3 linked regions of the Tribolium castaneum genome follow. Each later gene encodes a partner of the first gene's protein in a complex. Links are inferred from orthologs where the notes say so. Each region holds a gene or a part of one and is shown on either strand. Other genes may lie near its edges. The genes, in order: serine/threonine-protein phosphatase 4 regulatory subunit 4, Pp4-19C and PPP4R2r.

The links.
Region 2: serine/threonine-protein phosphatase 4 regulatory subunit 4 (region 1) and Pp4-19C share a complex: the UniProt entries of both Homo sapiens proteins name them as parts of the PP4 complex. The link is inferred for Tribolium castaneum from reciprocal best matches to the Homo sapiens genes PPP4R4 and PPP4C.
Region 3: serine/threonine-protein phosphatase 4 regulatory subunit 4 (region 1) and PPP4R2r share a complex: the UniProt entries of both Homo sapiens proteins name them as parts of the PP4 complex. The link is inferred for Tribolium castaneum from reciprocal best matches to the Homo sapiens genes PPP4R4 and PPP4R2.

The regions. Positions count from the first base shown.
Region 1 is NC_087394.1:13,839,333-13,849,840, forward strand, and holds the start of serine/threonine-protein phosphatase 4 regulatory subunit 4, read left to right. Parts: upstream 1-5,440; 5' UTR 5,441-5,523; coding exon 5,524-5,580; exon of another isoform or gene 5,581-5,694; intron 5,695-5,697; coding exon 5,698-5,777; intron 5,778-5,815; exon of another isoform or gene 5,816-5,959; coding exon of another isoform or gene 5,960-6,036; intron 6,037-6,091; coding exon 6,092-6,398; intron 6,399-6,448; coding exon 6,449-6,561; intron 6,562-6,608; coding exon 6,609-6,709; intron 6,710-8,807; coding exon 8,808-8,936; intron 8,937-8,988; coding exon 8,989-9,218; intron 9,219-10,508. Other genes in the region: Cmtr1 (cap-specific mRNA (nucleoside-2'-O-)-methyltransferase 1), read left to right, coding at 1,457-1,647, 1,699-1,830, 1,883-2,102, 4,748-4,977, 5,026-5,141. UniProt on the Homo sapiens protein: Putative regulatory subunit of serine/threonine-protein phosphatase 4.
Region 2 is NC_087401.1:11,675,305-11,685,536, forward strand, and holds Pp4-19C (serine/threonine-protein phosphatase 4 catalytic subunit), read right to left. Parts: upstream 6,624-10,232; 5' UTR 6,470-6,623; exon of another isoform or gene 6,445-6,469; intron 6,319-6,444; 5' UTR 6,314-6,318; coding exon 6,164-6,313; intron 6,110-6,163; coding exon 5,957-6,109; intron 5,905-5,956; coding exon 5,604-5,904; intron 5,489-5,603; coding exon 5,299-5,488; intron 4,834-5,298; coding exon 4,704-4,833; 3' UTR 4,449-4,703; downstream 1-4,448. Other genes in the region: protein suppressor of forked, read right to left, coding at 1-140, 229-389, 443-637, 691-1,007, 1,057-1,248, 1,304-1,495, 2,690-2,848, 2,896-3,124 and 4 more; Flo2 (flotillin-2), read left to right, coding at 6,849-6,897; glucose dehydrogenase [FAD, quinone], read right to left, coding at 9,699-10,232. UniProt on the Homo sapiens protein: Protein phosphatase that is involved in many processes such as microtubule organization at centrosomes, maturation of spliceosomal snRNPs, apoptosis, DNA repair, tumor necrosis factor (TNF)-alpha signaling, activation of c-Jun N-terminal kinase MAPK8, regulation of histone acetylation, DNA damage checkpoint signaling, NF-kappa-B activation and cell migration.
Region 3 is NC_087402.1:9,724,558-9,735,043, reverse strand, and holds PPP4R2r (serine/threonine-protein phosphatase 4 regulatory subunit 2), read right to left. Parts: upstream 7,083-10,486; 5' UTR 6,940-7,082; coding exon 6,061-6,939; intron 3,785-6,060; coding exon 3,233-3,784; 3' UTR 3,001-3,232; downstream 1-3,000. Other genes in the region: uncharacterized protein LOC107397720, read left to right, coding at 1-215, 267-778, 829-984, 7,460-7,735. UniProt on the Homo sapiens protein: Regulatory subunit of serine/threonine-protein phosphatase 4 (PP4). May regulate the activity of PPP4C at centrosomal microtubule organizing centers.

The sequences.
Region 1 (10,508 bases):
CCCACAAACGCTGCTAGAAAAACGGTAGGTGATTTTATTGTATACAAGGGGTCCGTTTTCTGAGTTCCACCATGGGGATCTCCGTTATTATAAGAGATACGAGGTCGATTGAATTAGGGCAAAGTTGCGCATGTTTATGCTGAACAATCATCTGCAAGAAAATTTGATGTGTCATTTTTAAATTTTGAATTATTGGAAAAAACGGAAACTTGTAATTTTCGTTTTTATTTTTTCAAGTGAAAATGAAAAGAACTAGACGTTTTTAACTAAGACGTTCTTCAGGTACTTTTTTACAAAAAATCTGAAACCGTCATCGTATTTTTCAAAGCGATCTTGATGTCAGAGTTACTACACTCAACTTTGTTTTTTTTATAGAACCCATATTCGCTTTTTGTATTTTTGAAAAGTGTTTTTATTCTTGGTTACAACGATGTATCACATTGTAAACGTTGATCAAAATGGAGAAAAAAGCATTTTTGCGAAGAGTGCTTTGGAAAAACGTCCAAGATTTTGTTTTTAAACAAACTAGATTTTGGAGGTGTAATTGAATTTGGATCTGGAAGGTTCATTTTTCTGCCAAGCTTACGTATTTAAAAGACTTTTTAGTTATTTAGTTTGCTAGACAACATTTTTGACGTTCTTTCCAAAGCACTTCTTTGCAAAAACGCTTTTTTCTTAATTCTAATCAGCATATAAGATTCGATCATATCATGGTGATACATCATTGTAATCACAAACAAAAAGACTTTTCAAAAACACAAATATTAAATATGGCGTCCATAAGAAAAACCAAATTTGAGTGTTGTACCTCTGACATCAAAAACTCCTTGGAAAAGATAATGACAGATTTAAAATTCTTGTAAAAATGTGCCTAAAGAATGTCCTACTTAAAAGCGTGTAGTTCTTGTGGTTTTCGCTTAAAAAATAAAAACGAAAATTACATACAAATTATTTATTTTTCTCAATATTTCAAAATGGCACATCAAATTTTCTTTCAGATAATGGTTCAGCGTAGAAATGTGCCACTTTGCCATAATTTAACCGACCTCGTATCTCTTGTAATAACTGAGCTCGAAAAACGGACACCCTGTATAAGCGGCAATTATTTTTTATATTGGTTTTTGGAAAAATTGCATGAAAACATTTAATATGATGTCTAAACTCAAAACATTAACAAAAAAACCTTCATATCTTTATAATATAAAGCAAGAACGAAAAAATTACGCTCTTTGTGTAATACTCTTAATAACTCTTACAACTTTTTTATTTTACTTTCTTCGTTTTTAATTTTTTTATACCTGTGTTTATACTTAGTACCGTAATCATAACGTTAGAAGTGAATGTAAAAAAAATCGACTTGTTCGAGGATTTTTTTTTAAATTACTCATAACCAAGATATGAATTTTGTGCGTTACTTTTGGTTCAGTATTTTGATTCTTTAACACTACTTTTGCAGAATAGCCAAAAACCAAACGATAAGTCTACAAAAACTTGCCGCTTTTTGTAGAAACCCTTTGTTGACAGAGTACCGACAAGAAGAACTGAGAAGACAGTGTCTAGATTATTGGAAAATTCCAGACAAACCTAAAATACCTCTCCCCAAGTACACAACGGAGAACCTACTTGACGAAACAGTCGAAAATAGAGGTGTGTCATTTTTTTAATTTTAATTTTTTTCTTTAATATTATTTTTACCAGAATTACTTTTGGTGCAACCACGTGAGATATACTCAATTGAACAATTACAAACGGTTGTGGATGACTTAAATGACTGGCATTACGCTCTAATGCAATGTAAAAGAGCCACAAACATTTGCAACTTTTATGCAGGTATTAATGGTTAGGTTTATTAATCCCCGGTTAACATACGAGTTAATTATAGGGGTGGGATTATCGCGAGTCTATCGAATGCAGGGTAATAAATGGGTGAGAGTGAAAAATTTGCAACTGGTTCGAGGGACCTTACTGTATGGAGAATTGGTAAAGGAAAAATGTTACATGGAAGAATCAGTTGGAAAAGTTGGATATAAGTATAGTTTACACGTAATAGACGCATTGCGATTGGGAGACCTCTACTTGACTGATCTAAAATTTGACGAAAGGTAATTTTAACTCTCTAGATGAATTTTAAAACTTCTTCATTTTTTTTGTAATATTTTGAATTAGTATACAAGGTGCCCCTGTTAAAAGTATTTTCTATTTTATCTCAAAAACGAATTATCATCCAGAAGTGAGCATAATTTTTCAGAATTTTTCGGTAATTCCTTACAACAAATATTAATTTTAATATTAATCCAACATGCAATAACTATGCATATTATTTAGGGTGCATAGAAACTTTATCCCATCTTACAAAATTTATTTGATTTAAGACATTATTTAACAAAAATAATGGTCAACATTTATAAATCAGCCTTTCCAGGAAAAATGTAACCTGACCCCAAAATTCAAAAATGATTTTAGTAATATTAAGTCTCTTTCAAGCTACACGATTCGGTTTATATTTAATGTATTTTGCGAGAGAACGGATTTTGACAGAGGATATTATTATTATTATTATTATTATTATTATTATTATTATTATTATTACAACTGTTGAATATTTTTTGAAAAGTATTTTTCTGGTTTCTGGTAGTTTAGAAAATGGAAATCGGTAAATAAATTGATAAATAATATTACTTTTTGATCTTTATAACTTTTGTTGTATCATCCGTTATCAAAAACATAAAATGTTCTTATTTTTTACGTTGTTAGACAAAACCAAGAACTTTTAATTTCCACTCTCTAATTAATATTTAAAACCTGTCCGAGTAAATTTTTTAGAGCTATTTTCACACACAAGTTTTTTTTGTCCCGTCTGTCATATGTAAACAAAAAATAAACTGATCAGAAGTCGTAGCACATTGCCTTATTTTTCGGTTTTGTGGTTTTAAAAGTTTCAACAAGTTCCACCTTTTACTTTAAAAATAGTTGTTGGAATTAGTGCCTTTTAAATTAACAGAATTTTAACACGAATGTTCAACGATAAAAATGTGTTTTTGTGTCCCGTCCGTCATCAATTTGTATTTCTTTTTCCTACTCTTATTTCATATTTTAAAAATGTGCCTCTAATTGTAAGTTACAAAGAATTTGACTGGTACTAAAATCCTATAAAGAAAAATTCACTTCTACTAATACTGGGCGTCAAAAACTGAAAATGAAATCTAAAAATTTGTCCGTTTAAATGGAATGGCTGAAATACTTTTATAAACTTTGGTGCACTTTTTAATTTTTCTGTTCACATTCTTTGGATTGTAAATTTTAATGTGTTTGACTATTTTAATTTTAAATTTCTGGCGTTTATATGCTCATTAAATCATAAATTAACAAAATTCATTTCGCACTTTTGATGTGAAGTTGAAGTTACATTGGATTATTTACTTTACTCTGTTTTTTTAAAAACAAAAAATAAGTACAATAATGTAGTATTTTTGTTAAAGTAATTAATTGTGAATTGAATGATAAAATTAAAATGAGAGAACATAAGTTAGAGACGTTATTAAATTTAATAATAAGAATTCGGGCCAAAGTCTTATAAATAACAAATTGTAAATGTTAAAACTTCCCTTGAAATGGGAGTAATAAATTCAAATTTAGAAATCGCTTACTTTTTTGAGTTCTTTAATTAAGTTCGGGTTTTAAGTTTTTGAGTATATTATTCACGATTAAAGGATTTTAGGTTCAGTTTAGATTTTCGGATTAAATTTATTTTTTAAATTTTCATATTTAAATTTGTGTTTTAGTTTGAAATTTGTTGCAGACTTATTTGCGTATTTTTCATTCACAAACTTTTAATTTCGTAAACACTTCGATTTTACACTACGTATAAACACTACCAGATTGCATTTTTTGGACGTAATCAATAACTGCTTTTTCAAATGTTTAAAGTTACTTAAATATTATATTTTTTGTTATCAGTAAGAGACATTTATTAACTGGTTAATATTTTTCGAAAAAAAAATATTTAAAAGCATTTTAGAGGCAAAAATAAAAACTAGGTGTTGTATTATTATTTTAGGTTATTCAACTTTTATTTATTATTTTTTTTAACTTCTCCAAAAAATGTTTAAATCCTTTAGTATTTTAAGGCTTAAAAGAAGAAAGTATGAGCTTTAAATGCTTTAAGCTCATACTTTCTTCTTTTAAGCTGATTCAATTGTTTTTTTTTGCGGTTTTAATGTAATGATTTTTTTAAATATGTGCAGATATCGTTAGTACTTTAGTTTTTTAAACTTTTAAGCTAAATCCAAATTATGGGTGTTTTATTTAAAAACAAAGTTTGAAACGCATTGTATATACTTGAAAGTAATTTTAAGTGATATTAGAGGGTCATATCTATATTTTTTTGAATTTGTTTAAATATTTTAACATTTTCTCGCCAATCATGAGCTTTACCAACTCGCTGGTATAATCTATGGGCAAAAATAAGCTTCTCGCCACAAAAATTTGAAAGAAAAACTTCTTTTCTCAGGAAAAAAAAATTACAACCATGTAGCAAGTAATTTGACGATTATCATAACTAAAAACTGGAGCATGCTGTTTTTTATGACTTCGTTTTCACCCTCCAAATTTCCTAAAACTGTAAAGACTTTATCGTTATTTTTTGTGTTTCTAACTAAAACTTCTTCTCTTAAAATTTACTACTGAGTCCTAAAATTTGAACCCACTTTGCCCCAAAAAATGTTATAAATCGTTGTTTTTTTTGCAGAATTAAACTAATTAAAATCTATTGCAAAGCAATTAATTATGAATTTCGAACGAATAGTATCAGGATTCGTCCAAAATCAATACATGACTTACAGTCCTTATCTTTGGATCTTCCTTTAACTAAGGATCAGAGTTCTGGAACATATTTTTCACCATTGCCAGTTTTGGGTTATAAAGTCAATAATGAAGGTTTTGAAGTGAATTCGCTTCTACTTTTAAAAACTGGCCAACGTAAGTAGGAGAGTTACTAATGAATTTTATTTCATGATAATGTTTTAGACCAATCGTTTCATTCTACGTATGTTCTAAGGGTGCAAATGTTTTTGGAAGGGGACCAACATTTTTCCTTGGATAGTTTAGTAGAGTTAATTCGGCAAAAAAGGGCTTTGTTGTGACATGTGTGTTGTGTTCGTTGTTATTAAGTAAATAATTCACTTGCAGTAAGGAATGCATTAACTAGATTCTCAACGACGTTAAAAGATCACAATATTTTTTTTCCTACCTCATATTATCCATTTTTGAGTTAACAGTATTTCTTAGATTAATTAAGTTGTTTTAACACTTGTACTTTTAGGTCACAAACACTGTAAATAGTTTTAGAATCCATATTCGTTGACTCGTTGTTTTTCATGTTACTGATAAAAAATATATTTTTCTTAAAAAAAATCACTGATCGATTTTGACTTTTGTCAAACCAAATTTTCCTGTCAACATTTCTCTCCTTCCAAATTCTAAAATTATAGTACAGTTAGGTCAAACCTAAACAAATTAACAAAAATGGATGAAGAACTCACCAATCTGCAGCTGGACAAACCAGGGGCTTGGGGAAACAAAGTATTGAAATCCTACAACTGAAGCAAATCTTTTTGTTTTATTTTGTAAAGCTATAAGATTCGCTTCAGAGGCAGATTTTGTTGTTTCTTCATATTTATGGTACTCAGGTTTTTGTAGACGAACGAACAACTCGCAAAACACACAATTGACTCGCAGTTTGAATCAAAACCGATTGACAGAAGTCTTCATTTGCTGCGGTAGGTATTTCAGATTTTTGAACTTGCCGCCAAAAAATGATGTTTGTGAAATGTGTCACATAACCTAATTTTTTAAGTATTTTTCTATTTTTCTTTCTCAAATTACAAAAATATCACAAACTTTTAAAATGTAGCTTAATGTTCAACCCCATACTTTAAATTACAATTTTATTCGGTGCGTTATGGATTTGGGGTTATACGATTATCCCCCGCAGACTTCAGTGGACGATGATTATTTTTTGTTACAAGAGTTGCTCATGTATTTGCTAATCTGGGCCCAAGTAAGGTTTAATTATAATTACTCTTCATTATAGGAAAGGCGATGACATTCAGAAATTAAGCGTAATTCAGGCTTTGCCCCAAATCTTGCAATATGATCCAAACGGAACACTTACAAGACTTGTGCCAAAAATACAACAAGAACTGCCAAAATCCTCATGCGAGTTTCACATAGCCACTAGTAAGATATTTAAATTGTTGATTGAAAAGCAACTGCCTTTGAATTTAACGGGGGCTGTAATACAAGGAACCGAGTCTAAAGACCCTGTGGTTTCGAATGCGTGGACTGAGACTCTTTTGGCTGTTATTCCAACTCTGCCAATTGATCAAATTAAATCAGCAGTAAGTGTGCAATTTTTTTAATTGATGTGTTGTATTTAGAGGTGTTGTAGGTGATACCGTTAGCATTGGCTAAATCGCAGCCCTCAAGTCCTGTGTATTGTCGCGTTTCTAGCTGTAAAATCTTGGGAAAATGTGCGTCACATCCAAAAATGCAGTCGATAGAGTAAGGGGAGGTGATTTTTTAAATTTCTTTTTGACTCGCATTTGCAGCGTCAAAGCTTCGATTTTGCCGGCTGTTCAAAGTTTGTGCCAAGATTGTTTTCAAGACGTGAGGGCCACAATGTGTTCGCAGTTGCACTTCATTGCACAGGGTTCGTTAATAAATAATCACTTTTAAATCTTATTGTCCCCATTGAAAGTTTATACAAAAATTAATAATATCTGCTCGTGTTCAGATCACGAAAGCTAATACTTCTCCAGCATTTTAATTAAATACTAGTACTTAATTTTATTCTCTATGCATGTGAATTTTTTCACAAAAAGAGTTGTCATATTGAACACCAATAAGCATAGGCGTTCCTTTTTGGCGTAATTTTTTTTCTCGGATTCCTTCATGGCCCTATAAATTATAAAGTAAGTTTTCATATAGTATGTGTTCACTTTGATCTTCTAGAGTTAATTTAATCGTCAGGTAGTTTTCGTTTTTTATTCTTTTTAGAGCTAAGTCTACCATTTCTTTTTTTATTTCTTTTTTCTACGTCTTTTTTTTTCTTCAAAAATCTGTTGGCGCTTCAGATATCTTTGTTGTCCTTTTTCAATTTTAGTTTTCTCTTTCAATAATCTTTGTTCCATTGTTATTATGTATTAATCGAATCCCTTTTCTCTTTCTCTTCTTTTTTCAATTTTTCCAGCAGTATACATTGTAATGATTATAGATTATATCTTATCCAATATTTGTTTTTTTAATTTCTAAGAAACTTGTGCAATAGTATTAGAATCATCATTAACATTTTCAATTTTTTTACATTTCTCGTATATTTTCAAATCAATTACTTCAGCCTTTTTCTTCTTTCCTTTGGCCTTCTGGTCAAATTCAATCATCACCAATACGTCACAGAAACTTAAAAAAAATTGATTAAAGCATTCTTTTTGAGGTACTGGGGTTTTTTCATTATTCTTTAGTCCAACAAGAGTTAATTGACCAATGTCTGTCGATATATTTGTAGTATTATGCATTGATTTCCTACTGTAATACACGCAGTTTTTTCTTTTTCTAAGTTTTTTTGTTTCTTTTATTTTGCCTTTTTTTTGTTTTTTTTTTCAATTTTGGTTTCCTGTTTTAACCTTTCTTCCCCTTTTACTAACAGAACCTTTCTTTTCTCTTTTTTTTCTCTTCTTTCCTTTCTACCTCTTTTTTTCATTTTTGTTTGTAACTGTGTTTGTATTAATTACTTCAGTTTTTTTCCCTGCATTTCCATTTTTTCTATAATACTACTTTAAAATTAATTATAAATTATAATTAAGTCTCTGCATTATTTTTTTATAATTTCTAATGATGTTTTGAAATAAACGATGCTTAATGTTTTTTGCAAGAATTAAATAAAAAAAATTGTCGCTAGCCCCAAATTTAAAAATTAAATTTATTCATTCTGTAGCTCACATGTTTCAGCTCCCATTTAATCGTAATATAATTAAAGTTTTGGAAAGTAAATTGTAACTAAAATTACGTAAATGAACATTAAGGATCGGTTTACAGAAGCGTCATTAATTTAAATCGAAGCAATTTGGTTGGTTCATTCACGTTAACTTTTAACAACGAATTATATTTTAACAATTGCGTTCTTAAAAATTAACAACGCGAATGGACCAATCATATTGGCCCCTTAGGGCCGGTTTATAGAAAGCTTCATTAAATTTTAATTCGTTGTTAAAAGTTAACAACAAGTTAACAAAACTGAACCAAATTGGTTCAGTCGAGTCACGTGATTAGTTAAAAACGCATTTAATTGCGGATTAAATTAATAATTCTTCTAAGAGTCGGTTTACAAAAGCGAAATTAATATTTAATCCGGAATTAAACTAATTCCAATTAAGTTGCTATTTAAAATGCATTGACAATTGTCAAGTTAATCTCGAATTAAAATTTGATTGCAATTAAAATGTTCCGTAAACTGGCTCAAAAATTAATAAATTACTAATGGAACTTATTTGAGTTAAATTTCCATTTCGTTTCAATTGAATGTGAGTTAGACAGCAAATAAATTTTTTCATAGGCTTTTTGGTGGCTAGTGACAATTCTTTTACGTAATTCTTGCACAAAACAACAGTCAAACATAGCTTGTTTAAGAAGAAAAAAAGTATCTAACAGCAAACGCCGATTTCTGTATGATTTTTAGTTTTTGTGGTAGCATAAACTTTTAGGAGACTTACCCTGTGTACATTAATTTGAAGTAAATTTATTTTTTGAAGGTTTGGGTGAAAGTTTGGTAAAAACTAGTCTACTTCCCAGTTTAGTTGAGTTAGCCTCTGATGATAATATGGCCGTTAGATCATCTGCGGTTGCTTCAGCGGTTTTAATGATTCCGTATTTAAATAAACGTAAGTGTAATTAATGAAATAATGGTTTATTGGTAATAACTATTTTTTGTAGAGACTAAATTAGAAACCATTGTTCCTTTAATTAAACAGTTGTGCCAAAAAACTTCAGGTCCGGGTGATACTACTTTTCCGACAATGGCTAGAGAGTATGGAAAATTAGTAAGCGCATTGCAAAGTGATTTGGAAGTTAATGATTGTGTTTGGACTCTTCAATTTTTTAAAACTTTGGCGGCTAAAGGGCAAACTGTGCGTGTGAATAAGGACAATTTGGAAGTGACACAGGTAAGTTAATTAAAATATAAATGTTAATCTAAGTACGAAATTCGGAAATAAAATTAACTAGACGCCCTCTGGTGATGACTTTTGAACTATGTCGAAAACAGTAAAGAAATTTTCGTAATGCCACATTTAACTGACATTTAATGAATTGTTCAACAATTTTGCGTGTATAGTGTTAATTACTTACAATAGAAAGAATTACTTTAAAAGTACGTGGTGGTAAATACTAGCGTTGACTTTGGTTCTGTAGTTTTTCATGGTATAATGTGTTTATTGTTCGAACTTGAAAGTGGATAAAAAGTGAAAAATATTTAAATTTTGATTACAAAGTGTTATCAAACAGTTGTCTAATTAAAGATTATAAGTAATGGATCACAGCGAACACAAAGTTTGGCTCAAGAAACCAATAAATTAGTGAAGTGTTATGAATTTTAGGTTAGAATTTTCCACTGAAAAAATCATGAAATGCTGCGGTAAATCTACAAAACTACAATAAAGATTAACAACTGCTGATACATTTAAACGTAAATTATGCCAAAAGGTAGGTTTTTCAATGTCTTTGTAATAATTTTCCAATAAAGAAAGTGAACCAAACAGTCATTCGTTATTCGTGTTTTCCTCATCATCTCTCATTTGTCAACATAAGTTTCTTGCATCAAAGATGAAATAATCATTCCGCATAGGCAATGTAATAATTGTGAAGCCCCAAAATTCGTACAACGCTCAAAATATCCCAATAAACATTTTCCCGCCATTTATGGTTACTGTTTTCGACCTAGCTCAGTGGCGCCCCCAACGGTAATTTTACTTCCGAATACGAGTTAGCAGACTTGGAATTTGCTAAAACATGTAATTCAAAAGATAAAACCAGACAACTTTTTGTCTTTTACTTCCACGAAATCTCTTGAAATAATAAAGTATTGGCTTCATTGGCTTAAAAATGTTTAAGCCCCGGTTTCTTGAATGAGTGATCGTTATATAAATTCTATCGCTTCCATAATTTATCTACAAACACCAATCAGATCATCTCTACCTTAGCAACTAGCCAACCAACAAAATTTACCTATCGATAAATCTGACTTAAATTCAACCAACCCTATTTAGGTTTATCTTTTTTTTTAATTCATTGTTCTTAAAACTATCTGACGATAATGAGGTCAAAGTCAAAGAACACTAAGTTTTGTCGAAAATGTCATTTTGCCACTGTTTGTATTTTTGTTGTTTTTATCTAAAAACGTCTTTATTTTGCAAAAATCGTCAACAAAACGTAAATAAAACGCCAAAATCCAAAAA
Region 2 (10,232 bases), on another chromosome or scaffold:
CGGGGGCGAATCCGGTAACTGGATCCGGTTGAAAATGTCCATGAGGAGGTCCACGTTGACGAAAGGCCCCCGGAAACATGCCGGGGGCGGCAGAAGCGTGCACAGGTACGCCGCCACCGGAGGGTGGGGGAACGCACCGCCTGGGAAAAAATGAAAAAATTTGGTTACCGCGTTGGTCAAAAAATTAAAAAACTTTGGTTATCGCGTTGGCAAAAAAATTATACGTACCGGGGACCGGATGCTCGCCCGGAAGGGGGTTGGACTTGGGCTTGTAGGGGATCATTTGTGAGTAGTCGGGCAGGGGCAAGGGGGCGTCGCCGTCGAGGTTGATTATCGACTGTAAAATGTGGTTGCGCCCCGCCCCCGTTATGTTGATCACTTCTGTATACCTGATATAAAATAAAAATAAGTGCTGCCAACTTAATCTCACAGTTGTTCTCACCCTATACTTTTGAGTTCCGTGGCCGTGCAGGGATACAAATCTAAAAATTTGTATCTGTCGACCAATTGTGCCGTTTCTTTGCCTTCAAATTCTTTAATTTTTGACAAGACTTCCGATCGTCTTTTCTCAACTTTGACAATACTCTGTAAATCCCCGATATTGCACTCGAATTCCAGAAAACGGTTCCAAATGTCACTAAAAATGAAATTTGTTTCGTCAATTGGTCGTGAAAAATACCAATGTCGTACACGGATTTTTCCGGTTCTAGACTTCCAGATGACAGGACGCGCTCGAATAGCACTCGCGTGTTGTTGTCTTCGTTCAAGTGTGACAAATAGTCGATGTAACACGTGATATATTCGGGGATATCCCCGAATTTTTTCAAACCCAGTTCGAAAATTCGAAACGCGATGTTTTTGTCTTTACTGCAATAGTACTCCATCAAGGCGGCGCAGACGAAAATGTGGTACTTGGAGCGATTGTCTTCGCGCGCTCTTTTGAAAACGGCCCGAGCCGACTTGATCCCTTCGGCCCGTCTGGCGAATTTCATATACTGGATGTACGCCTAAAAATTACGATAAAAACACCGTTTTTTTTGTTTGTTGTATTGGTACAAGTGTCGGGTCGATATCTTGAATTTCAAGGTACTTTTGGTAAATCTGGTGGACTTTTTCGTATTTCAAACGCCCTTCCTCGTAATCAGCGTAGGCGAAGTAAAGTAGCATGTTTTTGTTCAAGAGCGAGCTCGTCGCCCTCTCGAACATATTTGCCGCCTCTTCGCTAAATAATTTCGAAGCGTTGACGTCCTAAAACCACCAAAAAATAAACAAATTTAAGTTTGGCGCCAAAATTAATTAGTACCCCTTTCTCGGCTAGAATTTTACAACTGTATTCGAGAAACTGTGCCGCTTGGTACCAAATATCAGGGTGGTGTCCCAAACAAAGTAGGCATTGCTCAAGGGCGAAGACCACTCGTTTGGTCAAGAGGGCCGTGTCTTCGGTGCGAAGCGGATTGCTCTTCTCCCACGCGATATATTTCTGCCACAGCTCGACCTGAAAGAATTTTTTTTAACAGCAAAAGTAACGAGTAAAATTTTTCTACTTTACAATCTGCCTAACATTAAAACGAAAAAGTCCTTTACTACTTATTTTAAGGCAAGAATATTAATAATATGTGACGAAATACAGACAGCATCTGTTTTTAAGGCAGAGTTAAAAAAAGTACAATGGAAATTATTTTTCTGTTTTTAATTTTTTAATTGATAATGAAATTGGGTCGTTTAAACAATTAGAATTTGTGCCAACGTAACACTTAAAAAAATATTTGACATTTTTTTCTTGAAATTTTAAACAAATATTAATGATATTTTTTTATACTTTACGTTTATAATACGTTTATTAACGTTTATGAGTAGGAGTTGTTTAGGGATATTTTTTAGTTTTATATTATTTTTTATATTTTTAATTTTAATATTACTATTAATATTTTCAATTCATTGATAATAATTGTTATAAGGAACTGTACAAACAATCTGAAGAAATTCATATGCATAGAAAAAATAATAAGCATTTTTAGCAAACGCAGATTTTTACGTGATAGAATTAGTTTTAAGAAAAAATAGCTTTTCAGAAATAGTTTATTTTTTTATGTAAACTAAAAATGAATAAGAGAAACAAAGCCAATCATTACATTAATCCACAGCTACTTCCAAGCAGTACGTTTCGATTTCTTGTTTTTTTAAATATTTTTTATTATGAGAATTTTTTTTTTCATAACGAAGTCAAAAAATAAAAAAAAGTGTTACGGTTCGCTCAGATTTAATTAAAATTGTATGTTGAAAACACTTTTTCGTTTCCGAAAAAAAAGAACAGTTAAAAAAATCCACGTCATCTGCCAGACTAGAAACAAACTAAAACGTGTTCTCCTTTAACCTCAAGAACTAAGAGTTTTGAGGATCGAGTTTTTTGTGAAATTCTGAAATGGATTAAAAAATTCTGTCTTTATTATGTCATTTGAATAAATATGTTTGCCGATAAGTGAGTTTATGTGGCTCAGATGAAATATTTGCAAAGTTCTGCAAACTATCACTTTTACTCCTAGTAGATTGTATCTGTTGGCAACAGATTTAAACGTATTTTTGTTAGGTTTTCTTGATAAATATTTAACGTAATTAAGTCAGTATTGCCAATAGTTTGTACTACTGTGACCAATGAAATAATTCGGCAGAGTTGCCAACTATAACTGACTTGTTTCCTCTCTTCTGGGCTTCCGTTGGGGGGCACACTGGGGGCGTTCCTGTTAATCCCCCGAATCTGTACTTCGAGTTCTTTGGCGACTCTGCGCGCGTTCATGTAATCGCGACTCCTCTCGATGCTCATTTTTTCCGCAATAATGGGGTTAATGGCCTGAAATGTTTGCATAATTTTTTTTCGTAATTTTTGGGGGTTTTTACTTGTTCGAAGGCTATGTAGTCCTTCCAGAAGGTCTCCATCCCCGTCATGGGGTTATTAATGCCCCTTTGGTAGACCTTACGCACCGCTGAAATTTTCTGGTTCTCCGCATACGAGCCCACGGCCTCCACCCCCTTTAAAAAATTCACGTATTCGTTCCAAATCGAGTACGAATGGATGTCCATTCCGATTTTGTCCAAGGCAAAGTCGTAGGCTTGTGCCATTTTTTCCCTAAAGAATGAATCAAAACATGGGATAAACGCTAGAGGGCGGTTTTACGTACTTATAGGTCGGGAGCGAAGCCTTGGTTTCTTTAACATATCCGAGATAAAGTTTCCACAACTCAATATTTAAGATCTTCATCAAACACCTTTGAAACAACTGTTGGAACAACGAAAAATTTAGAACAAACCCGCCAAACATTGGTTAACGAAAGGAGAATATTGGCGCAACAAAAAAACAAATTCTCGTTTGGCAACATTTTATTTAGCGAGGATTGGACGCCTGGAGAGGGAAAAAAGACACAAAATATTCCCCAATTCATTAACAAATGCTCGCGACAACAGCAAGGGTTGAAAGTACTAAAACAAGTCTAGCGTCATGGTTTTTATTTCGTTTGACTCTTTACAATTTAACGGCTTTCCTACCTTTTCCACTCTTTCGAAATTCCGGGACTTCATCTGTAAAAAATCGTGAGTCAGGTTAGTGCCGACAAGGGGGCTCAGGTCACCTCGTGCTCGATGTAGATGCGCCAGTAGCGCGACGCGCTGGGGAATATGTCGATGAGGTGCTCGTAAAGGGGGCGCACTTCCGAAATGTGCTTGGTTTGCACCTCGCGCAGCAAAATCGACCATGATTCGAGGTCGTAGGGGTTGCGCTCGACCTGCTTCTGGGTGCGGTGCAACTTATCGTTACCCCAGTCCTAAATAACACGGACAATTTATGATTTTTTTGGGGGTTTTGGGGTTAACTTACAATGTGGAGCCTCTCGTCGGTCATGGTTGACGCAATTCATGCACTAGAAGCCCACGAAGGGTTGAATTGATAAAAGGGATGTTTTTAAGGGCTTATGCACCGGATTTTTGGTAAAAAAAGCACGAAAAAACGAAAATATTTGGGCTTGATGATGCCGCGACTGTCAAAATCAAGCGTCCCGATGGTACGAAGTCGTGTAGACGCGAATTGTTCCAAAATAAAAATTATAAAACCAATGAGAGACAGATAAGTAAATAGGAATAACAACTGTTTGATTTGGATTACGAATTGAGCTTCAGAAATTTTGTAATTTGTGGTTGACACAAATGCTTGGGGTGTCTTGTTACAAAGAATTACTGCTTCATGGAAAATGATTTTTTATGACTGGAGGCTTCAAATTTCGATTTTGAAACATAAAACTTAAGAAACCTTCAATTCAAAGCTTAATTATACGTTTTAAGGCTTTTTTGCTTAGCTATCACACACGCGATGGGTACGGTTTTGAATTAGCCGTCCCAAAATGGCTGCCAGTGCCGCCATTATTTTTTTAATTTGCAATATCTTTGAAATAAAACTCAAATTTTACAAAAAAATGTATTTTGGCAGTCTGCAAATGGTACAATACATGGTTTTAAATAAATAAATTCACTATAAGTACAGTTTTAGAATTTCGAAGTCAATAGAGGGATAAATCGACAACTGGAACAAAAACTGTCTTAAACATAATTGAAGACCATGAAAAAATACGTAACTACAACTGATGAATTAATTATGAATTAACAGATGACCAAGAGTATAATATGTATATTACAATTATAAAAGAACAACTAAACTATTACAGAAAATAATCAGCTTGTGGTTTTTTCGATGGCACGCCTCGAGTTTCCTGAGGCGCCGCTTCAAAAATCGTAAAATCACGTTGCAGATGCTCGTTCAGTTCCAAAATTGCGGCAACGTTGCCACACCTGCAAACACAAAAAATAACCGAAATTTACCAAATGCCCAGTTTGGAAAAAAAAACTAGACGCCCTTTGTTGACGACATTTCGTCGAAAACAGTAACGAATTTAATGTATCGTTTAGTAAGTTTGTTTATCATGTGGTTTAATTTTTAAATAAGTAGGCTTGGTGGTGATGTGAAGCTTCTAGATCCAAATTCAAATAAACCTCCAAAATCTAGTAGGTTTAAAAACAAAATTGTTGGCGTTTTTTCCAAAGCATCCTTCGCAAAAATATTTTTTCTCCATTTTAACCAGCATTCGATCATATCATGTGATACATCGTTGCAATCAGAAATAAAAACACTTTTCGAAAATACAGACATAAGAAAAACGAAAGCCTCCAAATTCGTACAATCATAATAAACATTTCCCGACATTTGAAGTTACTGTTTTCAACCTAGCTCAGTGGCGCTCCCAGTGGTAATTTTACCTGTAGCAATAATTTGGAGCTGACCACACTGTCAGCACAGTCTCGTTAAAGTGCCACTTGTAGCCCTCCATGACCAGCTGATGCGCTCGACAGATCATGTCAATGTCGTTGGCGGCGTTAAACTGGGCCACGACGTCGGAACCGAACAGATAGCCCGCCCCTCGGGGCGACACGCCCCAACCTTGGGTATCTACAACATTGATTTTTCATGACTAACTCTGGACACAAATATAATTTTTCGGGGCCAACTTGGCCACCAATTTTTTTTTTCAATTTGGGAGCGACTCAAGGGGGCTATTAATTACCTTCAGGGTCGCTCCATAACAGGTCGCACATTGGTCCGTCGTGTGGTACTTCCTGTTTCCGGTCGATGACTCTGATTTGATCTAGGGTTTGGATGGAGGGCGACAGCCCCCCGTGAACACAGAAAATTTTGCCATCAATGATAGCCGAAAGTGAGAGGTAATCGAAAATTTCGGTGCAATACCGCCATACGGTTATGGAGCCGTATTTGCGTAAACACTCGTCGTAAAATCCGTAAACTTGGGTTATTTGACGCGACTCGTGATTGCCTCGTATTAAGGTGATGCGGTCGGGGTACCTAACCTAAAAAAATGATCGTAAATTTTTACTTGTTGCGTCACGTTTTCGGTACTACTTTTAAGGCTAGTAGCAGGAGGAACGTCTCAACACTGTAAAACCCACGATCGACAAAGTCCCCCATGAACAGGTAGTTCGTTTCGGGGACGTCGCCCCCCACTTTGAAGAGCTCCTTCAGGTCGTAAAACTGGCCGTGTATGTCGCCACAAACCTGAAGCAAGTCACAATGAACCAAACCGTGACCCCTTCCGGGGGCTGCGCTTACCGTAACCGGGGAATCAACCCTCTGAACATTGCTCTCTTCAACAAGAATTTCCCTAGCTTTCGCACACAGCGCCTTAACCTCGCATTCCTTGATCGTTTCGCACCTTTTCAACTGTTCGATTTGCCGGTCTAAATCGCTGGTATCGCCCATTGTGCCTGAAACACGGGCCCCCAAGCTCAAACGTCAAACGAAAACAAAAAGTAACAAGTTGAGGTTAGGTCACCCAAACTTAACCAAAAACCCCCAAAACTGAACCCAAACGATTGCGAAACGCTAATTACCCACAATTCTGGCGAAATTCCGTACCTTTTTCCAATAAAAGTTCGAAAAAGCCCCCACCAAAGCCACTAATCACAGCACCCCGATGCCCTAATCTCAGACATACGTCCGATTGGCTGACTCACAAATGTCAATTGAGCGGCGGCGTCGTGTCGCCACCGACGCTACTCTGCGCACGTTCTCAACCCTTATTTCGGCAGGAAAGCGACGGTGGACGGTTAAATTGGGGAGAAATTGCGTTTAGGGTTGTTTAAATAAAGTTGGTGCGCCTGCGTTAGGCAGTAGGTCGTAGTATGATTACGGCTTAAAAAATTAAAGCGGAGTTTTTTCATGTTTAACCTGAAATTTTAAGGGGGTTTTGTGGAGGGTTTGTGACTGTGTGTGTGGTGCCGAGGTGTTGGGAGACATGGGAAATATCCATACGGTGGGACCGAATGAAGCCCTCATTGTTTCAGGTAATTTTATTGGGGTAGCTTGGACAAGGGTGGCTGGGGCTGTACTACAGCGTTTGCGGGGTTTGGGGTACCTGCATGCAAAATCTGGGGTCTTTTGGGGTATTTTCAAGGTGAATCGTTAGTTGTTGATAAGAATAAATAGAATTCCCGACCATAAAAATAACTTTTTAATTGTAGTATTATTGATAGTGAGATACAAAAACTACGTTTCAATAATTAACGTCTCATCTTTACCGGTTTAGAGATTTATTAATAACTTGTTTTTTTAATATGACAAAAATGTGTTATTTTATTAATTAAGTATTATCAAAAGAAGATTTTTTCTTAGTCATAAATTGTTTTCAACAATTCCCGCTAATCATGTGTTTCATTTATTGCCTAACTGCAATAAAATTTAAGTGCTCTACTATTTGACCTTTGACATTTGTATTGTGTTTGGTTGGTGTGCCTGTTTGTTGTTGTTTTACAATGGGCGTACCTATCTGGAACAACCTTGCATATGTTTATTTACTGTTTACTGCAGTGGTATAACATGATCGTGATTGTAACTACTAGAATTAAAAAATAAAAGACAGTCTTCTGGTTACAATTTTTTTGAAAATTAATGGCCAAAAAGTCAGTCATTCCAGTCTTTTTTCCGTGGTGTAAGTCGGACATAATCGGCTAGTGTAAATCGCTCTTTAAGCAGTGGTGCTTACAGTATTACCAACTCAAAAAATAAAAATCACCAGATCCGCGCGGAATTTTATCAAATTTTCAATAAACTGGAGCCTCTAATGGCTTGAAAAATGTTAAAATAATGTAATATTCAATCTGTTTTAGCGAAATTTTACAAAAAAACTGAAAATTTAACTTTTGAAATCTCAAAATCACGTAACAATATCAATTCCATTTTTTGGCGTCTGTGATACTGCAAAATAAATGAGTTTTTAGTTAAGAAACTAAGTGAAAACTAGCTGAATTTAGCCGGTTTTCGAAAAAGTTCTTAATTTTTATCTCAAAAAAACACCATTTTTCGTCTTATTTGGTGAATTTTTGGTTTGTAGCGAAATTTTGCAGAATAATTATACCTCAGTACAGATTACCTCCGGCTGATGTAATTACACCTCTGGCTGTAAAACGAGCTAAATAGGCAACAAAAACATAATTATCGATTCAGTTTGGTTTGTTTTAGTAAAAACTTGCAAAAGGCTCTCAAACTTTGGTTCAGAAGCAAGTTTAAAAGTTAAAATAACACCAATTTCGATCAAGTTTTGTGTTTTTTTGGCTAATTTTTCACGAGATTTTTCTCAAGAGCGAGCTAAATCGAGTGTAATAAAGAGGGGAAGAGCGAGTTGGATTTATTATTGTTGTTTTTTTGTCGTGGTTTGACAGGATAATATTATGAAAATCTTTAGATAGAGACTCTACTTCAAAAACTAACAAACTAGAACGAAAAAACTGAATAAATAATATCAATTTTGCTTTTATTTTGTGCGTAGCCATCTGAAGCAAGTTAAAAAAAAATCATTGAAAAACTCAAAAAACTTACAAAAAATAAATACTTATTATCAGGAGCGTATTCAGCTCAAAACAAAAGGGGCAGTTTTCAAATTTAACATCTTACTAACGACATTAACTTAACATTAACTGAGTAGTTAATATACTATGAGATCGAAAATGTACTCAATTAGAGCAAGCTTTGAAGTGAAGTGTAACTCTAGCCACTTCATATTTTCTTGAGTCCTAATTGGTTTTACTAAATTTTGCAAATAACAATAAAACGAGTAGCAATTAAACATTAAATTAGGATATTTCTCTCGAAAGTTTATTTTCGATCTCATGTTATTATGACTTCTCACGCGAATTTGATGCAAGTATCTTTACTAAGGTTTTTTCAAAATGCTGAAAGGCAATTAGTTTTTTATAAGTTTTTTTTTATATTTTTAAACTTAAAAGGTGGGCCAGCTGCTCCACCGTCCCCCACCCTGGATACGCCTTTGCTTATTTATTATACTCTACGAGTGAAAATGTTAAGTTCAAGAATGACAAAGTCACGAGTGGAATTATTTTACAAATTGATAAATAAATAGAGGGCGGTTAGTTAGGCAAAAGAAAACAGTAAGAATGGCAAAAAAGCGTAAAAGGCAATAAAAAGGGCAAAATTTGTTTGTTTTTGAAAAGGCAAACTGATATTTTTAAGACGCTTAATTTTAAAGATATATTGAAATGAAAAAAGTTAAAAAATACAAGAGACAACAATTTTTGTGTAATTTTTTTTATTGTAACACTTGATTGTTCAATTGATGCGGCAATAAAAGTTTCACAGAATAAAAACACTGATTTTGAAGGACCGGGCTTGTTCTCTTCTACAACGCTGGTCAAAATTATTGTTGACAGCATTTTAATTTTTTATGTGTATTTATAACGCATTATTTACATGTACTTCATTATTACATTATTTACTGTAGCAGGCCTTCAAGTTAATGAAATTTAAGAGAAAAAAGTTATATTCCGATATTTTGTAAATTTTTGCGGTTGATTTCTTGCTATTTCATCTACATAGAATTGATAACGAAATAGTTTAACATCTGCTATAGAAAAAAACATTATTTTGCTTAATTTGGTGAATTTTTATCGTGAAAAACTTCGAACCAATAATTTTTTTACTTAATTTTCTCTATACACATTGCTATGTTTTCGTGAATGAAACAATAATCACTAATTGAATCTTTATTTGTAAAAATTTACATTTTGGCTTTGGTCAACGTCCATTAAACTGGACAACTCTCCCATTTCTGACACCTCTGTCAAAACCACCCTCATCGTGCCACCTTCTCCCAATCCGCCTTAATCAAATCTGCCGCCTTTTCCCCCACCATAATCGCAGGTGCGTTCGTATGCGCTCCTAGTGCAAACGGAATCACACTACAATCGGCAACCCGCAACCCCTTGACCCCGTACACTTTCAACTCGTGGTTGACCACCGCTGTGGGATCATCCTTCGGCCCCATTTTCGCCGTGCCTACTTGATGGTGCAGTGTCACACTTATAGCCCTTATGGCGCACATCCAGTAGGCGTCGCTGTCGAAAATCAAGTGTGCACATACCGGAATCGGATTCGGATTCATCCGCGTTCCCATTTCTTGAAACGGTCGAGTGTTGGCCAGTTTTTGGATGTAGCGGATGGCGGCTAGCATTGTTTTGAGGTCTTGTTGGGCGGGGTCTGTGAAGTAGTTGCCGTAGAGGAGGGGGTAGTCGCGGGGGTTGCGCGATTTGAGTTTGAGGTAACCGGTGGATTTGGGGTGGAGCAACATGGGGAAGATGGTCCAGGTGGGGATGTTGTGGGTGGGGCC
Region 3 (10,486 bases), on another chromosome or scaffold:
GGACGATCCCTCGAAGAACGTTAACGGGCTTCAGAGCATGTTAATGGCGGGGCATGAAGCCGAACTTCCCGGGATTAATCCCAGAGAGATTGCCATTTTGCCGTATTCGAGTGGCACGACGGGATTGCCGAAGGGAGTAATGCTCTCGCATTATAATTTAGTGGCGAATTTGGTGCAAGGGGAACACCCGGCTATGGAGGACTTGGAAACTAAAGGTTTAATTTTTTTTTCAATAGTTTAGTCCATCACTCAATTTTTTCTTTTAGATGGTAAAAGGCACACCATGCTAACAGTCCTCCCCTTCTTCCACATTTACGGCTTCAATGGAATTTTGAACTTGTGCCTCAAAAACGGCGCTCACATCATCACCATTCCACGGTTTACTCCCGAAGATTACCTCAAAACCCTCGTCGAATACAAACCGAGCTTTATTTTCGTCGTTCCTTCCCTGCTCTTGTTCCTGGCCTCGCATCCTGCCGTCACCAAGGAACACTTGAGTTCTATTGAAGCCGTCCAGTCAGGAGCGGCCCCCTTGACTGAAGGTCTCTTGCAAAAATTCAGACAGAAGGTGGGAAGAGACGATATTCTGATAAGACAAGGTTACGGCATGACGGAGAGTTCGCCGGTTACTTTCTGTATGCCTAAGTTGACGCCACCGTCGAAAATTGCAACGATTGGACTTCCTTATCCCGGGACGGAAGCAAAAGTTATTAGTTTGTCGAATGGGGAACCGCAGGGGACACACAAGTCGGGTGAATTGCTAGTGAGGGGGCCACAGGTATTATTGTGAAGGTTATTGCTTCAACATTTGCTGAGCGGTTTGTTTAGATTATGATGGGGTACTTGAACAACGAACAAGCCACTGCGGAGACTGTCGATGCGGAAGGGTGGCTCCATACAGGGGATGTGGCCTATTACGACGAAGATTTCTACTTTTATATTGTCGATAGGTGCAAGGAACTCATCAAAGTCAAGGGCAATCAAGTAAGTTTTTTTTAATTAGCTCAAAAGGTAAGTACAGATTTTATTACCACTAATGAGTGGATAAGCGCAAATCTTACGAATTCGCGTCTATTCAAAGTTAATTTACAACAAAATGTAGCCAAAAAGGACAAGACTCTGCTCTACTTGTTAGATTTAAACTAACTGTAGACCGTAGGGAAAAGAATCATAATTATTACACATACATATTACGTTACCTTAAATACAAGGTGTTTAAACGTAACTTACGCCTATAAAATGCAATCAGCAATACATATAATTTAAGAATTGCTATAGTAATTAGTCAAATTGCTTACTAATTTCTCCAGCAAGAACTACGTGGAGTTTTAAAGCATTCTACCAGGGAAAAACGAAATAATAAGGATTAGGTAAATAATAATTATTAGAAAATGAAGGAAGTAAAGGAACTATTGGTTTCTGAAATAAAATACAAAATACAGCACAAAAATCAAAATTTCACACTTGGCAATAAATAAGAAAAAAATATCTACATCTGCTACAATTTGTAGCAAGGGCATTTTTTTTTCGAGAAAAATCAATGCAGTACGTCAGTAGTAAAAGTAAAACTTTCCAGACTAACTCTTTTTTCCGCGATTAAACCACGAACTTGAAACTTTTAAACCGCAAAATTCATATTTTATTTTACGAGGCGTACCTTTGCGAAACAGCAAGTAACAAACTGAAGAAAATTAAACGGCACAACAATAATTGTGTAAGAATAAAAGTATGAATAAACCGTCACACAAAAATATAACCTGTGACGTAATTATCCTTGTAAGGTGAAAAGCGAGGTTTGTCTGATTCACTGATTTTGTTACGACTTTGTAACTTACCGTTTTTTGAGGTACCTATCTATCTAAATAATAATGGTGTGAGGTACATTTTTAGATCCAATCAATCGCTGATCATTTCTTAAGCAAATAATTTCAGGCAAAACAGTTCATCGAAATCTTTAAGAATTCGTGAATTCGATATTCTAAAAGATACCCACAATTCAAACAAAGCCACTTTCTAAGGAGAATTTAATAATATGAGCACCTATTTATTTCACTATATTACAAAATATTACAATCAGCAAGTTCTTTGGCTTTAAACAATTTTGTGAGTTGATCAGACTAACAACGTCAAATGAATTGTTTTAAAAAATTCAATATTATTTTTACCTACTCTAAGTACTCTCTGAATGCCGCGGCTATACTCTGATAGCATTGCCCATACAACTGCTTTAAATCTGTCAGATTGTTATAATAGTGAGCTCCAACTAATTAGTAACAATTTTTTGTTGATTACGCCAATGGACCTTTTATTTTTTTGATCTGAACAGGGTCGGCTTTCAAAATTTCCAAAACCCAAAATCTTAGTTCAAAACACACTTAAAAAGCTTGAAAAAAAGTAAAAATAAAATTGAAGGTTTTCTTGTTATTTATTAGGATTAAAAAAAACAACGAAATCGACTGAAACAGGCAAAACAAATCTTCAATTTTTATTATTTCTGTGATTTGTAAGTTTATTTTAATGAAATATGAACTAAATCAAGTGAAACAGGGTAAGAATTTAGGATAGCATCAATTTCTATCATTTAGAGATTTTCCTTTGTTGAAAACATTACTACTGATTTAATTTGACAATTATTCATTGTTTTACGCAACGTCTTGTAACAAAAACTAAGATTTTAATTCAAAACATGCTAAACAGCTTGAAATTTTCGTAATAACGTAATCTGTTTCCACTGATTGCTTAGGGCGTTTTTTGGTTATTTATTGGGACGAAATTTTATTCCAAAATTAGCGAATAAATGAGTGAAACAAGCAAAATATTCCAACAATTTTGGATTTAAAAAAAAAAAGTTCAACGTGCTTTAGAAAACTCTTTTAGAATAAAACGCTGTTTTGTTGGCTGCCTACACGAACCAGACTAATTCCGGTTCAATTTTTATCCTCGCTCCACTTTCTCTGTAAAAGTAGGCAGGATGTCGGTCTTGACAAAAAGATGCAAAGGTTTCAATAGATAAACCATTTATTCAGTTCTTTATTACGTACAAATTTATTTACCTACGCTCTACATACAAATTTAAAAAAAACGAATTTTGTTGACGAATCAGACGAACCCTACAGATTCTAGTAAAATGAAAAAACTTCGTTTGCATAATTACACATTGTATAAATACTTAACAATTAAGAAGGCGCGTTTGTTAGCCTTGATCGTTAATTAAGGAAAAAAATTATCTAAATTATAAAGGTGAGTCTGACGTAGCTTCAGCCCTGACAACCTCTTCCACTTTTTCGCTAAACTCATCCACATCCATCGCAGTCGCCGCCTCTTCACTTGCCTCTTTCACCCCTTCTTCGGGAGCAGCTTGAGATTCTTCACATTTCTCAGTCTCTTCAATTTTCGCTTCAGCTTCGCTTTGTGACGAGTGCACCTCATCAATTTTGTCAGAAGACGTAATTTCGAGGTCTTCTTTAGTTTCTTCCTGTGGTGTTGGGGAGGCATTTGAACACTTGGTGGTATCGACAGTTATTTCTTCGCTTTCGTCCGGATTCTCGTCAAGTTTCTCTTGCGATGTGCCAACTTCATCCTCGTTTTTATCGCACTCAGTCGACGATAACTCGCTCTGAGGGACCGCATCGTCCACAGTTTTCTCCTCCTTACTTTCAACCGATTCCTTGTCGTCTTCAGCGCTTGAGGACGAGTCTGCGTCCTCGATTTGCTGCGACGAAGGCGTTTCCTCTTGTTTAGCCTCAGATTCTTTGGAAGGTTCGCTGGTTTTGTCAGATTGGTCCTAGAAAAAACATGTTTTCCAAATTAAGCTGGCACAACTGCCACACTCGTAACTCCGAACTGAAAAAATCCCCGATCCACTTATTCATCAGATTATCAGACTTTTTTTTGGTTTGCTATTATTGTTGACGAAATTTTGCTTAAAAACGTAAAAATCAATTGGGCGAAACGAAAAGAGACAATTTTAGCAAAGTTAAGAAACAGTTTTTAGCCTAAAAACGTGCGTAAACGCGCGGAAAGGCAATACTTTGGTAAAAATCATAATGTAAAACATGCACATTTGCAAGAATAAAAAATACTGCAAAAAGAAATGTGTTTTTCTATTTAATTTTGTAATTTTTTATTCATTTCAAAGAGATTTTAAAAATTAAAACATACACCATTTCCAAACACATTTTGCGTTTCTTCGTATATTTTTTTCAAGCAAGTTGACTCAAAAATAGTAAATCATGTAAAACACCATCAATTTTTTTGAAGTATTTTGGATCTTTGCAAAATAAAGGAAACTGGTTCAAAGACGAGCAAAATCTAATAAAATGAGCAAAAAGAATATCTACTACTACACTATAATATAATTTGTTTATTGTTAAGCCAATTGTATGTAAATTATAGTACAATTTTTCGAAAGAAAAAATTATTTCCGTTTTTAAAATACACCTAAATGCTCAAAAAAGGTAAAATAGCACCATAGCATAATCCTGGGTTTGTTCTGAACAAAATTTTATAAAATATTTGCATTTCTGACTCTAAAACATGCTCATACACACAAAAAATACAGAAAGAATATTTCCAGCTTAATTTTTTGGTCTTGTCTAAAGAAAAAAAATACATGAAAAAGTTAAAAAATAACACCATTTCCAAAAAAATGTACCTTTTCAGATTTTTTTCTAAGAAATTTTGCACAAAAACTAATAATGTTATTTTCAATCTAATTTTGTAATTTTGCTGTAATCTCGAAAGGGAATAAAAAAATAACAACACTTTCTAACACATTTTGAGTTTTTTCAAGTGCAACAGTTAAATACCATCAGTTTCTTTGAAGCGTTTTAGATGTTGCAAAATAAAGGAGACAGGTTTAAAGACGAATAAAATCTAATCAAATAAGCTAAAAAACATCTACTAATCTACTACTACACTACAACATAATTTGCCAATTGATACTAATTTTAATATAATTTTTGCAAAATTATTTTCGTTTTTAAAATACGTCTAAATCCTCAAAAAATGTAAAACAGCACAATTTTTAGCGTAATTTGGTGGATTTTGGACTTGTTTTGACCAGAATTTTATTAAATTTGCATTTCAGGCTCTAAAACATGCTCATTCTCACAAGAAAAAAAAACTTGAAAATGGTGAAAAATAACTCCAAAAATGCGCTTTTACATGTTTTTTCCTAAGAAATTTCGGTTTCTTCTTGAGGCGTTTTAGCAAGATTTTGCAAAATAAATAAAACTAAACCAAGCGAGACAATCTAAGCTGCGTATTTTTTAGATATTCTTTCAAAAGGGAAAAAATATTTCGCGTTAAAAATACGTTTAAATGCATAGAAAATGCATAGAATCACCATTTTTAAAAAAAGCTGGCAAATTTTAAGCTTCTTTACAACAAAATTTTACGAAATATTTACATTTCGGACTGTAAAATATGTCCACACGCACAAAAAAGGAAGAAATAATGATATTTCCGACTTTCTTTTTCTTATTTCTTAACTTTCGGTCTTCTCAAGAAAATTTTGTTAATATAGCTTAGTTAATACTTAAAAAATTAAAAAAAATAACACCATTTCCACACAAATTTTGCGTCTTTTAGGGTATTTTACTACGAAATTTTGTTCAAAAATGAGCAAATTAAGTGAAACCATCAATTTTCATTTATTTTTGTATTTTTTTGGCGCGTTTTAACAAGATTTTTCAAAATAAAAGAGGCGAATAGAACGAACAAAATTTTGTAAAATCTTGAAAAACACATTGCATTTTATTCAAAAACGTGCTTGAAAAGCTAAAAATAACAATTTTAAAATCTATTTACGGTTTTTTGACTTTTTTTACGAAATTTCGCTCCTAAACTAACTACATCGAGGGATTTTGTGATTTTAATGGTTTGATAACAGTTTTTTAATTTAGTAATTTTCGAAGAAATTTTGAAATTACGAAATCACAAAACTTGGTGAAATTTTGCGAGGCCTGGCAACACTGTCCTGAGTGTGACGTGACCATTTAGCAATTAATGTTGCCAACTTCAAACACATGGACACTTTGATCAAAACTTGGTACTTACACAAGACTCGGTGATTTCTTCGGTTTCTGACGAAACGACCGGTTCGACACTGTTTCGTCTCTTTTGGACCCCTGCAGGTATGGCAGTGATGGTAACCGAGACATCCGTCTCATCTGGGTCTGATCTGGTGCAAGTATTTGATGGCACAGGTTCAATCGAAACGTAGGGCTCCTCTGAGCTTCGACACGTTATGACAGTGTCTTGAGACGAGCTGCAGGCCACATCTGGTAGCTTAGACGCGGTGACCACCGTTTCTTGTACAATTGGCTGGGTTTGAATGTCATTACTGTTGCTATTCTCATTTTGATATGGAACATTTTCGTTCTGTAGCAATCTAGGCCAAGCTGGCGCATCGTCCATTTCTTCCACGTTGATGTCATTGCTGCTATTGCTAGTTTCCGGCAAATGTTCCGACTCCAACCCGTTCATAATGCCCTCCCCGTTCTCCGTGTTCCTCCTGCCCCCAGGTTCAGTGGTGCTCACAACTAGGATATTCTTCTCCAGGGCCCTCATGTACTTGTCTATCCGATTGTACTCCTTCCTCGGAGTCGTCAACAGCTCGCAAATCCTCTGTAACGTGAAGGGGGCCGCCGCAAACGTGTCCAACTTCTCTAAAATAAAATTCTTCATAAGGTCGTAATTGAAAATGTCCACGTTGGGACAAGGGGGTATCTCGACCGAAGGGCACGTCTCGTAGAACTCCGTTATAACGTTAATCATCTTCTCGCGAAAGAGGCTCTTTATTGCCGACCACTGGTACACAGGGTCCCCTGTTTTCGCCACAAAACAAAGGTACTCCTCCAGTTCGCGCGGTATGTCCTTGGGCTTGGTTTTCGAGAATTCCTCTAAACTGTGGAGTATTTCTTCGGGATTTTCCATTATTGTTATTGTTTTTTTCGCGAAATTTTAGCACCACCGATCACCATCTACTTGCGTCAACAAGCGCACCAATGACAATAACGAAGTTAGCGCCGGTTCAATATCATTCCACTCAAAGTAGGACGTGATCGACGAACTGCGCAACCGCGCGCCTATTTTAAGGACGTGGTCATTTATCAATTTAAACGCGAGACAATTTTATTTGATTTTAAAGTACAGTCATTAAAAATTATAATCAGCAACAGCGCAAAGTCTAACACGTGTGCAAAAACCGGGTGAGCGACACCGAGATTTCGCTAAAAATATTTTCTCTGCGAACACTCGGATTTTTTGTATAACTGGTTGCATACCCTGTGGTTTTTAATTCAAAAATTTTTTTTAATTTGAATTTAAAACACACCTTAATTATTTTATTACGTGGCACCTGGAATTTAACGTTACGAAGTCATACTTTATACTCTTTTTATTACGCGTTGTTAAATATTTACGTAAGAAATAATCGTTATTTTTTTGTAAACAGGTGTCGCCCACCGAGCTTGAAAATCTGCTCCTGGAGATGCCCGGAGTGGCCGATTGTGCTGTTGTGGGTATTCCGGACGCTTTGGCCGGTGAAGTGCCCCGAGCTTTCGTCGTGCGCCAACCCGGGAGCAGCCTGAGTGAAGACGACATCCTACTTTACATAAACCCCAAAGTGGCCCATTACAAAAAAATCGCCGGCGGTGTTAAATTCGTCGAGTCGATCCCAAGGAACCCCAGCGGCAAAATCCTGAGAAACGAACTTAAAATAAACGCTTAAAATTCATAATTGTAAGAGAAAAATACCTTGTAAGTTTTATTTTGTACATAGCTTTAACGTGGCTTATGAATATGATATACTCTGTTTATCTTTTATAATACCGAATTGTTTGTAAATATATTATTTGTTATGTATTTGTATCATTTTGCGCACGTATGAGGATTATTTTCTTTTGTAAGGCAGCCCTATACCCGAGCGTAATCGCTTTAAAAGATTTGTGTTAATTAGAATTTAGAACTCTTACAGATGCAAGCGGGCGACTTTTGCAAAAAGTAACACACTGGCCCAGATATAAAAACGAATCAACGTATTGTTTCATTTTACTCTGCTTGTATGTGTTTATTTAATTATATAATAGTTACAGTAAAGAAAATAGATAAATATTTTCTATGTGGAACTAAAAAGAAACTAGCAACAACAAAATTGTTTACCAGCACACAGCACAAAACAGAAATTATTGTCGGTCCGACAAAAACTTTTACTCCTTTCAACAAGCAATAAAACTTGAAGGGCTTGTAGCGACATGCTATTTAGCAAAAACATAAAATGTAAACATTCAAGCAGTTGTTTTACTTCAAAGTAGCCGATGTTGACTAACTTTTTTTGTGTGAAATTGATAGGCCATTAAATTTAATTTATATACTCTACACCGTATTAGCTCCGACTCATGAGCTTCCGACTCATATTTCTTCCCACTGGAGACTTTTGTGCAAATTTTGTTATTGAAAAAATCTTGGTTCAAGTTCACCCGTTTCGAATGTCGCTGCTTTGTGGTGGAAGGAATAAAATAAAGGTTACACGACCACCTCAATATTTTTCTTTTAAATGGGTGTGGTGTGTGTCTCTTTGAAGATAACGGATGTTATAACGAACTTCCGGATATAACGAACTAGATTCGACTTAAAATGTGATGCGATTTTCCGTTTATAACGAACTTTTTATTGAATTTTTAACAGAAAACATTTTAACTGGTGGAAACGTGTGTTTTTAAACCTAATTACAGTGTGAATTTGAGAGTTGTGCAAATTTTTTATGATAGTAGAGATCTAAAAAGTCAAAATTAATCATCTTACTTTATATAAACTTTATTTACTATTTTCACTACTTTTTACTCCACTTCAGCGTCTAAAAATTCGTCAAAAAGTGCAATGTCAACTAGATTTGCGTCTTTTGAGTACTTTTTCCCAAAGTTTACATTCGGTGGTATTTTTGCCCACATTTTCATATTTTTTTATGGCAGAACTAAACTCAGAGATTTTTGTTGTTGCCAAATTCATTCGCCGACCAAAACTCTCTATATCTCAGAAACTATAAATATTCGGATAAAGTAAGTTGAGCTATTTTTTACAATTTTCACATTTGAGGTCTACTGTAACACCTTATTTACACAACTATAGTATAATTCACACAGTATACATCTGTAACATGTAATATATGAATATATTACTATTTCGCAAAGGATTCAATTTATTTATACTTATTTATTTAGTCTTATTTCAAATGTTAAGTCAAAATTACTACTTAAAAGACATTTTTTTTAATTTACCGCTTTTAGCGAACGAATTGATTGTGATGCATTTTCTGAGTTCGTTCTAACCGGATACCATTGTATCGGGTGATTCAAAAATATGTGGCATAATTTTAACCACGAAAACCCCTCTAAAAATGAAAATAGATAGGATAGTATTTACTGACCCACCACAAAAAATTGAAAAGTTACAATTTTTCAGAAATTGGTATGGAAAAATGGTTTTTTGAAAATATTTTTCTTACCGTTCATGCGATTATTATGAAATTTTGCATGCCAAGAGACACAAAGACGCACTTTGATATGGTGTAAATGGAAATCTTGTAAAAGCTATACATTTCCGATGACAAGGGGGCCCTTCCAGTTTTTAGGTGATAACTCAATTTTTCGGCCTATAAACACGTATTTTTGATACCAAAAATCAAAAGCCCAATTATTTTTTAATAAAAAAGGTACTCTTGCTTCATGTCGTCAAACTGTACCGTTCTCTAGTTATTTGGGATTAAACTAAACTCTACACTGCTCTGCAGAATAGAAAAGTATAAATTTTGAGCGTACCATTACCTTGGAAACAGTTCACTACGAATGACACAGCTGTCATTGCTGTCACATTTGATGTCAATTTCATTTAATCCAAAGTAAATTTTGATTATTTCTTGATGATAATAGTAAAAGACATGATTATGTGTTGGAAGAAATAATGCATGAGCTAGCGATAGCCATCCCGGCATCACAACTTGATCTGAGACTACACCACAAGGTTTTCACACCGTAAAACGATTTTCCCTCCAAATTGCTGGTTTTATCAATACTTCACTACTTGCATTATAAAACTATAATCCAAATGAAGAATTAAAACGATCAGAGACCAAGAACACAACCTCAACTGTAACAAATCACAAAATAAAATCTTATCAACTATTTGTAATGCCGTTGTTGCAATTTTTCTTTAATAGGAAGTTAATTTGATCCACAAAAGAATAACGCACAGCCTAATGTTAATTTACATTTTTGAAAATTACAAGAGCTTCGACAACAATGAGCACAAAAGCAACAAATGCCGCCAGCGTGCTAATTGGCGCCAGTGCTATTTTTCATAAGCGCGAATATCAAAAAAAATATGAATGATGAAGTCAATGTTTTTTTATTAAACAACAATAATAACCTGGATCATTTTTTTTTTCTTGACTTACCAGTATGGGGTGATCAGGGCATCATTTCCA